Linked DNA regions of Tribolium castaneum. The protein of the gene in region 2 interacts with the protein of the main gene of each other region in a biochemical or structural test. Links are inferred from orthologs where the notes say so. Each region holds a gene or a part of one and is shown on either strand. Other genes may lie near its edges.

The links.
Region 1: the proteins of Ubi-p63E (region 2) and Duba form a complex in vitro, tested with the Homo sapiens proteins (9 studies listed by BioGRID, with this or other methods). The link is inferred for Tribolium castaneum from reciprocal best matches to the Homo sapiens genes UBC and OTUD5.

What each region holds. Positions count from the first base shown.
Region 1 is NC_087403.1:2,183,991-2,192,018, forward strand, and holds the start of Duba (OTU domain-containing protein 5-A), read left to right. Parts: upstream 1-3,050; 5' UTR 3,051-3,168; coding exon 3,169-3,237; intron 3,238-3,503; coding exon 3,504-3,592; intron 3,593-3,638; coding exon 3,639-4,131; intron 4,132-4,178; coding exon 4,179-4,335; intron 4,336-4,385; coding exon 4,386-4,600; intron 4,601-6,450; coding exon 6,451-6,712; intron 6,713-6,757; coding exon 6,758-7,015; intron 7,016-8,028. Other genes in the region: Cyfip (cytoplasmic FMR1-interacting protein), read left to right, coding at 1-59, 103-401, 442-524, 571-887, 934-1,502, 1,550-1,741, 1,788-2,086, 2,134-2,372 and 2 more. UniProt on the Homo sapiens protein: Deubiquitinating enzyme that functions as a negative regulator of the innate immune system. Has peptidase activity towards 'Lys-48'- and 'Lys-63'-linked polyubiquitin chains. Can also cleave 'Lys-11'-linked ubiquitin chains (in vitro).
Region 2 is NC_087396.1:13,942,831-13,949,378, reverse strand, and holds Ubi-p63E (polyubiquitin), read right to left. Parts: upstream 5,073-6,548; 5' UTR 4,933-5,072; intron 4,819-4,932; coding exon 2,761-4,818; 3' UTR 2,671-2,760; downstream 1-2,670. Other genes in the region: 3'-5' ssDNA/RNA exonuclease TatD, read right to left, coding at 6,422-6,548.

The sequences.
Region 1 (8,028 bases), on a different chromosome or scaffold from region 2:
ATTATTTTGAGGGAACCGCTGAGGAAAGCAATTAAAAATAAAAAGGATCTTATCAGAAGGTAGCGCGTTTTTGTGTCCACATCACGTAACACGTTTTTTTAGTATCATTATGTCGGTGCGAGAAACTTGCGCTGATTGGCAGAGAGGTGTCGAGCCGACTCAAGACCCGGCTTTGAGGGGCAAAAAGGACGATAACGGGTTTAATGTTAAAGTGCCAAGGAGAAACGTGGGTCCTTCCTCCACCCAACTTTACATGGTCAGGACAATGCTGGAGTCGCTAATTGCCGATAAATCAGGCGGCAAAAGAACCCTGAGGAAGGACATAGACGGTCAATATTTAATGCAAATTGACCAGTTCCACAAAACCTCCTTCTACTGGAATTATCTTCTCAGTTTCAGTGGTACGTACAAAAACATTGATATTAATTCATTTCCTCCCAGAATCGTTGCAGCAATGTTGCGACCTGTCGCAGCTGTGGTACAGAGAGTTCTACCTCGAGATGACCATGGGACGGAGAATAAACGTGAGTAACGCGTAATTTTGCCAAAAATTTGCCAAACTTTTCATAGAAATGCACCGTGCGTCACGCTCATAACGAAGAATGTAACGATTTGATCACGATGGAAAAACGCATACAATTCCCAATCGACATGTCCATGCCTTGGATTTTGACTGATCATATTTTGAAAACTAAGGAACCCTCGATGATGGAGTACGTCTTGTACCCGCTTGATTTATACAATGATAGCGCGCTTTACGCACTGACAATATTCCGAAAGCAATTTTTATACGATGAGGTCGAGGCTGAAGTTAATTTATGTTTTGATCAGTTTGTTTATAAACTGAGCGAGCAAATTTTCGCGTACTATAAACAACTGGCGGCAAGGTATTGATAAAAATCATGGGAACGCTTTCACAATCAATCCTTTCAGTATCTTTCTTGATAAGCGCTTCAGAGTGGAGTGTGCCGCCTTGGGGGCTTACCTGCTCCCCTACCCGCGAGCAAATCGTTACGAAACCTTGCTAAAACAGCGGCACGTCCAGTTATTAGGGCGGTCGATCGATTTGAATAAGTTGATCACTCAGAGGATCAACACCGACATGCAGAAAAGTCTCGATTTGGCAATAAGTAAGTTCGAAGGCGGTGACATAACCGGGGTTATGGAACTGGAAGGCCTCCTACAAGTGAATCGGTTGTGTCATAAATTGCTGAGCAAGTGGCTCGCACTTGACGATTTCGATTCAATGTATCGTGAGGCTAATCACAACGTTTTGGCGCCCTATGGCCGCATCACCTTGCATGTGTTTTGGGAGCTGAACTACGATTTCTTGCCTAATTACGTCTACAATGCCGCGACGAACAGATTTACTAAGTATCGGGGGCAGATTGCTTTCGCGGGGGCTGTCCACAGAGATAAGCCGCCGCAAATGTCGCATCATTACATGTGGGGGAGCAAGCAACTGAACCTTGCCTACACGACTCAGTATGGCCAATATTCCGGTAAATCTAGCTTATGGTCCTAATTTTGTTTAACTAGTACGGTTTAGGGTTCGTCGGGCCTCAGCATTTCCACACAATGTGCAAACTCTTGGGTTATCAAGGCATTGCAGTTGTGATGGAGGAGCTCCTCAAAATTGTCAAAAGTCTGATCCAAGGGAACCTCCTCCAATTCACCAAAACTCTAATGGAGGTCATGCCAAAGCAGTGCAAATTGCCACGTTACGATTACGGCTCACCGGGTAATGATTTGCTTGATTTGGGCGGAATTAATAAGACGAATTTTAGGTGTGTTAAGTTACTACCACGCCCAATTGAACGACATTGTCCAATACCCCGATGCCAGGACCGAGTTGTTCCACAATTTCCGAGAATTTGGGAACATTATCCTGTTTTGTTTACTGATGGAACAGGCCTTGTCACAGGAGGAAGTCTGTGATTTGTTGCAAGCGGCACCGTTTCAGAATATCCTCCCACGGCCGTTTTGCAAGGAAGGGGAGAAGCCCGAAACGAAGCAGAAACGGCTTGAAGCCAAATATGCCGCCTTGCAGATTGTACCAAATATAGAGAAGTTAGGAACTGCAAAGGTTGGATAAATGTGCAAACAACTGTTTGTTATTTCGCCAATTTGTAGCAATCTTTGATATCGAAGGAGGGCGATTTATTGACCCGTGAGCGGCTGTGCTGCGGTCTCTCGATTTTTGAAGTTGTTTTGAACCGATTAAGGACCTTCCTGGACGATTCGGTTTGGGTCGGACCGCCGCCTGCTAACGGTGTCATGAACGTTGACGAATGCACCGAGTTCCATCGCTTGTGGTCGGCTTTACAATTCGTCTATTGTATTCCAGTTAGCGAGAACGAATATACTGTCGAGTGGGTACCGACTTTATGTTTCGTTTTATTTATTCCGTGTTTCAGGGAAATGTTTGGCGAAGGTTTGCATTGGGCGGGGTGTACAATGATCGTGCTTCTGGACCAGCAAAGGCGGTTTGAGGCCCTCGATTTCTGTTACCACATTCTGAGAGTACAAAGAGTTGACATGAAGGATGAAATTGTGAAAGGCATTGTATGTTGGTTGTACGGTTGTTTTCGGTCTATAATTGTCTTTCCCAGAGCTTGAAGAGAATGGTGGACAGGATCAGGCGCTTCCAAGTGCTCAATTCGCAGATCTTTGCGATTTTGAACAAGTTTTTGAAGTCGAGTGAGAACGACGAGTTGTCGGTTGAACATGTACGTTGTTTCCCGCCACCGGTCTACCCAATGAATCCGCAACAGCACTACCACGCACCCGAACATCTACGCCAGTGTTGAAGCACGTTTATTTTATACATTTGTTGGAATCAGCTTTCAACATTTTATAATCTTTTATATTTATTATAGTCCTACTACATGTGTAAATCTCATTACAAATGTATCGCCCACCCTCATTTATTATCGGCCTTATTGGTATTGCTTTAATTTTTCATAATAAAATTTTCGATGCCTGCTTGAGTGTGTTTTATTTCGCGCGTTGTTTCAAATTCAGGGCTGCCAACCGGGGACTTAGTCCCGCTGGTGACTGTTGATAGCAGCTGTTCGTCGTGTGTTGACAGTAGTTGAGAGATTTGTCAAACTATAGAAAATAATTCAATAATTTTGTAGTATTTTCTGTATTTTGAAAAATTAGACAATGACAATTTTACCAGCCAAAAGACCTTCGGCGAATCCGGAGGAGAAAAGCGACAATAGTCAGCAAAATGTGAGTAGATATGTTAAACTTGTCATTTTTGATCTTTTTTTAAGGAGAAACTTCATAATCATAAATCGTGTTATCTTTATTGTCAGCGTGTTGGACTAGCGAAATCTTTGCTTGATCTTGAAATTTTGTACACGATTGCGTAATTAGATAGGTTTAATAATGTAATAATGTAAAATAGGTAGGTAATGATTGCTTTCCAATACTAGCTCAAGAGCTGTCTAGGTCGGCTTCCTTTGTTCGAATAATTAAGGCCCGACTTTTTTTAGGGGAATTCCGAGCGAGCGGTGCGTAGGAGAGACGATATAAGTTCTCTGAATGAGGCAAGCCCTTCAAGCCGCCGATCTCAGTTCCCCTAGTAAGTTTCCACCCTCAATCGCGGAAAAATTCATTCTTGCTTCCAGCGTCAAGTCAACAACTGAGCGGAAAGAGCGTTTGAGGAAGCGATATAAAGAGCCAGATCGGGCGCGAGATAGGGAACGCGAGCGCGAACAAAAACGGGAAGTTCGGAGGGAACAAAAACGGGAACGAGTTGCTAAACGCGATATCTCAAATGAGCCTCTACATGACAATAATGCGAGTAATTCGGTTGTTGACTCAGTCGCTGTTGAGCCCACTTGCAACAACAACGAACCTGGGACTGCGAACAAGGAAGACTACACGGGCTTCAACAGCGAGGATGAGTACGATGACCAGGGACTCCTCAAAGAGCGGAACATACCGGATGAAGAGTGGCAAAAAAGGGACGTGTTATTTTCCCGCGGCATGTCCAACCTTGGGTTCGAAATCAAGCAAATGAACGAAGATGGGGCCTGTCTCTTCCGGTCGATAGCAGACCAAGTGTACGGCGACCAAGAATTCCATTATCAAGTCAGGCAGGACTGCATGAACTACATCGTAAGTTGTACGCAAAGTGGGGATTTTTTCTAATTTGTTTCTGGAAGGTTCAAAACCGTGACTACTTTGAACCTTACGTGACGGAGGATTTTGATAAATACGTTGCACGGAAACGTATATGGAACGTACATGGCAACCATTTAGAAATACAAGCAATGAGCGAGTTATATAATAGGACAATCGAAGTTTATTGCTACCAAATAAGTAATTTTTGCCTTTCTTCCGCCTGATTTTTACTAATACGCCGTTTCCAGCACCAATCAATATATTCAATGGTTCAAGATTAATTAACTCATATGAGCCTATTAGATTATCATACCACAGGATGTGTCATTATAATTCTATTAGTAACCCAAATAAACCTTCAGTAGGGGTAGGCTTAGGTTTACCCAATTACCATACCGTTGATATTGACAGAAGAAGGTTCAATGACGCTCTGCGGGCTAGTGATGAGTTGCTAATTGAACAGGTAAACCAATCAAATAATTCCCATTCATAAAAAAGTCACTGAATTTTTATAACATACTAACCACACAGTGGCGTACCAAAACATGTCCCTTTCTTCGCTCCCGCTGATTAAAAATGTATTATTTAAATTGATTACGTTCGGGGTTTTTTGCCCATTCGTGAAAAAAATATTTTTTGCGCCGAGTTTTGTAGAATTCTTTGGTAGAATTTTTGTCTTATTCGTTACTAATCAATTTTTTTCTTGTAGAAACGTGCTGATGGAGCTCGGTCGGAACCGCTTTGTCGCGGTACAAACTACCAAGTACAATGGTTTTTAACAGTGAAATTTAAAATATGGAACGTAAAAATAGTAAAATAAAATTTTATTTCAATTTATCACGATGGGAAATCGCAGTCGTCGTATTTTTGTGATTTTCTTGTTTTTATCAATAAATATACACTCACTTGTTATTGTTACGCCACTGGGAAACCTCATGTTGCGCATGAGATAAGTTACGGTTTTGCTTGCTGTGCGCACTCCAGGTAGCAGGCCCCACCTTTGTTCAAGGCTGCAAAACGGTTAGATAACGAAGCCTCAGGGGCGGAGCACAGCCACTGTCACAAGGCAGTAGCGTAGATGTAATCGAAAACACTTCGGTAAAAATTATAGGGGCTTTCACGAATTATTCTCAAAATTTTAACAATTACGCCTATCACTTTCTTCAAAATAAATAAAAGTACAACAAAACCCACATAAAACCTAGACTCGCGCTCATTACAGTATTATTACAATGTAAAATGAAGCTACTAGCTCGCTTTGGACGTTTTTTTATGTATTTTGAGGAATCGAATTCTTATTACAAAAATTCTACAGTGAAACCTCGTTATCCGAATTTAAAAAAGTAAAATTCGAGTTAAGGCGAATTCGTGTACACACTTCGCTCAGACTTTTTTTTGCTTTTACGCCAGTATTACTAATAAATTAAATTACTAATAAATCCTAATAAACATTTCACTAACCACAAGCGATGTCATAAAATTGACAGAAATAACACTTCAGAACCGGTGAGAGTGTAACGTATCTGTAGCCATGGGGGTACATTTTGAGACACACTGTACAGCACCGCTTTTATTACACTGTGTTTCGATCTACATTTATCGAAGCGACACGTAAGAAATGACAAAGGCGTTTTTTTCACCGCTTAAACTTATCTGTGCGTTCAAATCCACACAGGGACAAGTCACAATCCCTTGTAAGTGCCATTTTTAAGTCAAATTACTAAGCGTACTAGGCGTAATGAATGTGAGGTTATACATACCATTTTTTCGGTGAATTGGGACGGGGTTGCACTTTGCACTGTTAAACCCACACAAAGTGAATTATTGCAACAGTTTCGATGTAATATTCAAATTAAGTTGTGTACCGCACTGCTATCACTACATTGTCTAGTAGGGGGTGCCAACGTTGAAAACTCAAAAACCACGCAATGTTCACTAGCAAAATATAAAAACAAACATAAAAAAACACCCAGGCACACATTTTCACATATAAATTAACAAATTTACAAGTTTTGGTGGCGGGATTTCAACAAGTATGTGGACGCGAGATGGCGGTATAATCGTCCGGGACGTTTCTGTTCTCTGATTGGCTGTTGGTGTATAATACAATACTCGGAAATATTAGAAGATTAATTTTTTCCGACGTGATATATGCGTACAGATAGTGTTGTTTTGAATTACTAAGTGTTAGCTTTGTATTACAAAGGTTATTATATTTTTTTTCGTCTGTCGTGGATCTAGTTACGTGCATCCGTGAGACCCGAAATTGGCGCCCTGATTGACAGTTGTCTTGACTAATCAGAATCTTTCTAGACTATGCTAGAAGACAAGTTGAAAGCAACCGACTTTGAAGCCACCAACGAAGCCATCGAAGAACAGGTAGCTCGCGAGTCCTACATCCAATATTTTCGCGACTCAGAACGCCGTTTGAAGAACCAAGGACACTCCTGTGGTAGCAGTTCAACGATAACATCAGCAACCATGTCCAGCTCGCGCTCGTCGAGGAAAGGCTCGGTCTCCCCGAAGGGATCGCAGTCCCCCAAAGGGTCCAACTCGCCAAAGACAACACCACTAGGTACTCAAGTGTGAGTCGATGGCGTTTTTTAACATTTCCTTGCAGCGAGCCCCCGAGGCGCTGGGGCGCCGTCCCCATCGACTAGCCGCTATGAGGCCGACGTCAGCGGGGGCGATGTGGCGGGAGCCTGCGGTGGACCACCGGAGGAATTTCCGAAATTTTCGCCGCGCCGTTCTGAGCCCCCGGCCGAGGATGTTAATAACCCGGACTATGATGAAAATTTCAACGAGGACTTTAAATTTGATTTTGATTCCGATTCGGATCAGTCGGCTGGGGCCGGGCCATCAAACCGCGGTGATATAGGTTTGTCTGATTTTTGCTTCAAACAAAATGGACGTCGATTAAGTGCATTTTTCGGACAAAAATTGATATTTTAGCGATTTTTTCAGCTAGCCCTCCGGCCAAATGCGCTGCTTCATCGCAGGATAATCGAGTTATTACGGTAGGGTTAGCTTAGAAAAATTCTAAGCCCACATGTAATTGGGCAAAAATCGTGGTTCCTGAAGAGATTAGAGCTTGTAAAAGCTGTAGGTACAGCTAAATGGACCACCTATATTTTTTGCATTTTTGGATGCAGCTTTTAAAACTAATGACTTTGACTTTTATTTTTTTGAACTTTTGAACTTTTATTATTTTATTATACTTGTTATTATATTTTTTCACTTAGTAACATTATCATTTACAATTTTTCTTCATGTGTCACTCGCTATAACATACTACAATTTAATTACGTTATTGTAATTTAAAGTATCTGACAATTTAAGATATATTCTTTGGGGAAGCTTTTAAAAAAACATGGAATATTATTTTGTACTTTTTGCATATTGTGAGTGATTAAATTTAAAAAATATACAGAGCACTTAAAAACTGGCGCACCACGTTCTTGAGAAGCAAATGTAGATTACAGGAAAAATCTTAAAAAATTCCTACATTTATATTATAAAAAATATGGGCATACAAATTTACTTTGTTGACTCTTTTTTAATGTTTTTATGTTTCACACTTCCGATACCGGCTGTTAGACAATGATGCCACATATTTGACAGTCACAATTTAAGACAATTTAAAGAAAACACACATTAAAAATCTCCTTTTTATTTATTTTTCCAGAGCCACACGTAATTGAAAAAAATATTTACCGTTACATTCTGTTGTACGAAAAAAAACAAGCAATCTTAAGTATTATACATTATACAACCAAACAGCATATTAAATATCAATAAAAAATGCATTATTCTTTTTACTATTATTTACTTCCCTTTTTTCATTCTCATTTTTTTTGTTTCATTTACATTTTATTTATCTCATTTACTCTT
Region 2 (6,548 bases):
GTTGGTTCACCAGGACTATCTATACATGGTGAGAACACCAAACAAAACGACAACGAATTTGCGAAGTCAGAAGCTGTCAAGAGTCCAGCGCATAGGCGAGAATTTACGCTGACGAGAATTTTTTAAGGATTGCCAACCCAAGGCTAATCTGAGTGGAGAGCATGTCAAGTTTATAAAAAAGGGGGACACGTAAACTTGGTGGTTTTAAACATATGAAAGCATGCTATTGCACAAATAAATGATTTATTTAAGTGATAGGTTGAACATTTTTTGGTTTAACAATATTTAAACAACCGGACTTCGCTACAAATATAAATCGGGCGCATTAACTGTTTTTAAATATTGCACATAGATGGCAGTTACAATTTTATAGAATACTGTAAACTTTTAGTTTACCTACGCTTAGATGACGCCATCAAAATTTTTTTTTTAAAGAGAATGGAAAATATCATTTGCTTCGTTTTCTTGTATGTAATTTTTTTGTGTAATTTTAAAAAATTAATAAAGATATAGTAAAAATTTTATAAAATCTGCGATTCACAAAATGCGAAATATCTTCGTTCCTGTAGAAGATAGAGGGGTGGTTCTGCCCTTTTGAAAACCCTACTGCCCCGTAGTATTTTTCCTGCGCTATCGAATGGGATATGTCCCGTTCCCGTATCTCCATCAGGAACCGAAATAGCATTGCACATTTTTTAATCGGGAATCGAAGTACATGACGTAATAGTGCTCCAAAAGTTACGTGTGCAAGCAAAATTTCAAGTTGCTACGGTAACAGGAAGTGTCCCAAATTTAACTCGTAAAATATGATTCAAAATAAATCGCATTAAATAAAGACTCTGAACAAAAAAGCTGAAGTTTTTTATTGGAGTTTTTATTTAACTTGCTTTGTTTGCAGTCTTTCGGAATTATAAATATTTTGAACTTAAATTTGAGACACTTCCTGTTGTCGTAGCAACTTGAAATTTTGCATGCACACGTAACTTTTGGAGCACTATTACGTCATGTACTTCGATTCCCGATTAAAAAATGTGCAATGCTATTTCGGTTCCTGATGGAGATACGGGAACGGGGCCTAGCCTATTCGATAGCCCAGGAAAAATACTACGGGGCAGTAGGGTTTTCAAAAGGGCAGAACCACCCCTCTATCTCCTACAGAAACGGAGATATTTCGCATTTTGTGAAATGCAAGATTTCCTTAAATTTCTATAAAAATTTTGAAAAGTGAAAGAAAATTTTAGGTTGTTTACAAAATTTTTATAAAAATTGAAGAAAATCTTGTAATTCACAAAATCTTAAATATCTCCGTTCCTGTAGGAGATAGAGGGGTGGTTCTGCCCTTTTGAAAACCCTACTGCCCCGTAGTATTTTTCCTGGGCTATCGAATGGGATATGTCCCGTTCCCGTATCTCCATCAGGAACTGAAATAGCATTGCACATTTTTTAATCGGGAATCGAAGTACATGACGTAATAGTGCTCCAAAAGTTACGTGTGCATGCAAAATTTCAAGTTGCTACGATAACAGGAAGTGTCTCAAATTTAAGTTCAAAATATTTATAATTCCGAAAGACTACAAACAAAGCAACTTGAATAAAAACTCCAATAAAAAACTTCAGCTTTTTTGTTCAAAGTCTTTATTTAATGTGATTTATTTTGAATCAAATTTTACAAGTCAATTTTGAGGCACTTCCTGTTATCGTAGCAACCTCAAATTTTGCATGCACACGTAACTTTTGCGGCACTATTACGTCATGTACTTCGATTCCCGATTTAAAAATGTGCAATGCTATTTCGGTTCCTGATGGAGATACGGGAACGAGACCCATTCCAGTCGATAGCCCAGGAAAAATACTACGGGGCGGTAGGGTTTTCAAAAGGGCAGAACCACCCCTTTATCTTGTACGGGAACGAAGATAATTCGCATTTTGTGAATCGCAGATTTTATAAAATTTTTACTATATTTTTATTAAACTTTTTAAATTACACAAAAAAATTAAAAACAAAAAATGTAGGCAGCGATAATTTTCATTATTAAAAAAAAAAGTTGATGGCGGCATCTAGGTGTTAAGTGCCAAAATTAATTTTATTAACTTATATTTATAGTAACCTGTAATATTATTATTGCTATCTATGCGCACTAGCGTAAAACAATGAATGCATTTGAAATGGATTTTTTGCCAAATACGGTCGAATCGAAAAAGTTTTTTGTGACATTGTCATTAACTTGTAGGTAGTTCCATTGAGTTTTGTGTGGGTGATTAAATGTTATCATTTTTTTTGTCTTTAAGTTTTTTATTTTTATGCCTAACGTCAAATTCGATCGGCTGCCAAGTCCGGTTTCTCCGAATATCAATGAAAGTGAAGTCTTTATTTTTAACACTGTATTTAGCTTAACGAATTACTCCAAAATATGTGCAGTCATATGAATAACTTATTTTTTTAAGAATTTGTTGCCTTGTTGGAAATATACCTCAAATCTTTTTTTAATTTCAATTTGTGTGTTGGCGATTTTTGGAGAATTCTCGTGAGCGTACATTCTCGCGGGCCTACAATCTCGTCTAAGCTCCAAATCCAAAGACAAACCAACCCCGTAAAGCCAAATGTTTTAAAATTTTGATAAGCATTTTTTTGAATTAATTCACATGGAGTACTAAAATAAAACACAAGAATTAAGCCATCAATCTTTATTCTCTATTCGTAATTTCAGGAAACTTGTAACAAAAAGTAAAAAAAATATTAAGCATAGAAATTCCAGAAAATTACTGTCCTCCGCGAAGACGTAAGACTAGATGAAGAGTGGATTCCTTTTGGATATTGTAGTCCGAAAGTGTGCGACCATCTTCCAACTGTTTTCCCGCAAAGATCAATCTTTGCTGGTCTGGGGGAATACCTTCCTTATCTTGAATTTTGGCCTTCACATTTTCAATCGTGTCCGATGGCTCAACTTCCAACGTAATTGTTTTCCCAGTCAACGTCTTCACGAAAATTTGCATACCTCCTCGCAGACGCAATACTAAATGTAGGGTTGATTCTTTTTGAATATTATAGTCCGACAGGGTGCGCCCATCTTCGAGTTGTTTGCCAGCAAAGATCAACCTCTGCTGATCTGGAGGAATGCCTTCTTTATCCTGGATTTTAGCTTTAACATTCTCAATTGTGTCTGAGGGTTCTACTTCCAAAGTGATCGTCTTTCCCGTCAAGGTCTTCACGAAAATTTGCATGCCACCTCGGAGACGCAACACCAAGTGGAGAGTGGATTCCTTCTGGATATTGTAATCGGAAAGAGTACGGCCGTCTTCTAGTTGTTTTCCAGCAAAGATCAATCTTTGTTGGTCTGGTGGGATACCCTCTTTGTCTTGAATCTTAGCCTTGACGTTCTCAATTGTATCAGAAGGTTCGACTTCCAGGGTGATGGTTTTGCCAGTCAGAGTTTTAACGAAAATTTGCATGCCACCTCGGAGCCGCAATACTAAGTGGAGTGTTGATTCTTTTTGAATGTTGTAGTCGGAGAGAGTTCGGCCATCTTCGAGCTGTTTGCCGGCGAAGATCAACCTCTGCTGATCTGGGGGAATCCCCTCTTTGTCCTGAATTTTCGCCTTAACGTTTTCGATAGTGTCCGATGGTTCTACTTCCAAAGTGATCGTCTTCCCAGTCAAAGTCTTTACGAAGATTTGCATGCCACCACGGAGACGCAACACCAAGTGGAGGGTCGACTCTTTCTGGATGTTGTAGTCGGAGAGTGTGCGACCATCCTCCAACTGTTTGCCGGCGAAAATCAATCTTTGCTGATCTGGGGGAATCCCCTCTTTGTCCTGAATTTTCGCCTTCACGTTTTCGATTGTGTCCGAAGGTTCGACTTCAAGAGTGATCGTTTTTCCAGTCAAAGTCTTCACGAAAATTTGCATGCCACCTCGGAGACGCAACACCAAGTGGAGGGTGGATTCTTTTTGGATATTGTAGTCGGAAAGAGTACGGCCGTCTTCAAGTTGTTTTCCAGCGAAGATCAATCTTTGTTGGTCTGGTGGGATACCTTCCTTGTCTTGGATCTTGGCCTTAACATTCTCAATGGTATCAGAAGGTTCGACCTCCAAGGTGATGGTCTTGCCAGTCAGGGTTTTGACGAAAATTTGCATGCCACCTCTCAAACGCAATACCAAGTGAAGGGTGGATTCCTTCTGGATGTTGTAATCTGAGAGGGTACGCCCATCTTCTAGTTGTTTCCCGGCAAAGATCAATCTTTGTTGGTCTGGTGGGATCCCTTCCTTATCCTGAATCTTAGCCTTGACGTTTTCAATCGTGTCGGAAGGTTCGACTTCCAAAGTAATGGTTTTCCCAGTCAAGGTCTTGACGAAGATCTGCATGCCTCCCCTCAGACGCAAAACCAAGTGAAGGGTGGATTCCTTCTGGATGTTGTAATCGGACAAGGTGCGTCCGTCTTCGAGTTGTTTACCAGCGAAAATCAAACGCTGTTGATCTGGAGGGATGCCCTCCTTGTCCTGGATCTTGGCTTTGACGTTCTCGATCGTATCAGAGGGCTCAACTTCCAGAGTGATGGTCTTGCCAGTGAGTGTCTTAACGAAGATTTGCATACCGCCCCTCAATCTCAAAACCAAGTGGAGCGTCGATTCCTTCTGGATGTTGTAGTCAGACAAAGTGCGTCCGTCTTCGAGTTGTTTGCCAGCGAAGATCAAACGTTGCTGGTCTGGGGGGATACCTTCCTTGTCCTGGATCTTAGCTTTGACGTTTTCGATGGTATCGGAGGGCTCGACCTCCAAGGTGATGGTTTTACCAGTCAAAGTCTTCACGAAGATCTGCATCTGCAACGACACAAAAAATTACTTTTGTGACAAAGCAAATTTCCAAGCCGCCATATTGGATTTCGTTGAACAAAGAATTACGCACTGAATAAACCGAAAAAACACATTACTCACTATGTGGTTTGGTTTTGAACAGATCGACAAATTTACAAAATTAATTTTGTTAAAATTTAAACAAAAAAACACGTCACTAGGGCGATGTTTTTTCAAACAAATGTTATTGCGTCATGCGAAAAATTTCACAAAATTGCGACTTTCTGCGCTTCTTGCAATCGAATAATTCATGATGAAATTAAAATACATACCTTTACGGCTAGGAAAATTCACAATTTTAATTAAATCGCTTTTGTATTTCACCACTTTTGCTCAGACAATATGGCGAATGCAGCTGTGGAACCGCTTTTATACGGACGGCTTCCCCCACTCCTTTTTAATCTCGAACCCAAAGTACACTTTCTAGAATTTTCGACTAATTATCCAAAAAACGTCCTCTTTAATCAAAAATTTATACATAAACTTTAGTTGCTATCAGTTTAATGCCAATTCGGTTAATCGTGGTCAAAACAATGTTTCAGGTATTAAGAAAATTGCTTTTAATTGAACAAGATTCTAGGGACTTTGGCCAGTAGTTGTTGGTGACATGTCAGCTGATTTTTATCTACGTCGTCAGCTTTATCGATCAGCTGTTTTCTTTGTTTTGGAATTACGCCCTTTTTTATTTTTCAAATTTTAATTTATTTTCCAATTTATGCTTTTCAAACGTTTCAAATAAACCACCCATTAATACCTGCATGAAATGCCAAATTCGTCTGTTCAATTTTGAAAGGAATTTATTTGTTTACAAAGAATTATCCTTATCGTTGTTGTTCTAGAGTCTTGTTTATCATGTAAATACGGACGACAATAATAAATTATGTAAAAGGGTCATTTGGGACAAAGAAAAGTACAGTAATTCATTACAACTTATTTATTCTTCATATTGTAATAGATAAGGCACATTTGTGTCTATAAAATGGAAACAAATATCACATAAAGAGGCAATTATTGTGGCAAACAAACCCCTAAAATATGAAAATTAATTACAAAAATAATGGGCCATTTTACACTACACAGCGTCCATAAAATTAAAACTACAAGAACATGCTACCGAAATTACAGCAACAACAAAAATATTGCATCAGATTGATTATACGCCATAATTTCATACTTCCTATATCAACAATTCAAAATTATGATACTTTAACAAAGCGTAATTCTATTACTTCAACATAAATCTTTCGTCCGCATTATAAAACTAAGCAGTCAACAAATACATTTCATGTTACCTAAAATATACAATTCGGCTTTAACAGTTGCTAAACGTAACGTAGTCCAACTACAAAAATACAGGATAAGACGTGATAAACTTTATAGTTCCAAAACGGTAATAACCGCTTTTGGTAAACATGTTGACATTGGTGATCACCTAAAATTATTTACACGATTCGTTGTATTCTTCGCCCTATTATAGCTAAATTCGTTTAATAAAGCTGCCCACATGATTTCGAAAATAGACAAAATATAATATGTTTGTATGTTCCCCTTAATTAGTACAACTTTCGGATCATTGAGACAATCCGAAAAGTTTCAAGGCATTAAAAGACGTAGCTAAGGCCACGTCCTCCGGTTTCTTATTCATAAAAGCCGCAATCATCTCGACGATCGCTGGCAAAGAGCAGGGTTCGTTCCTT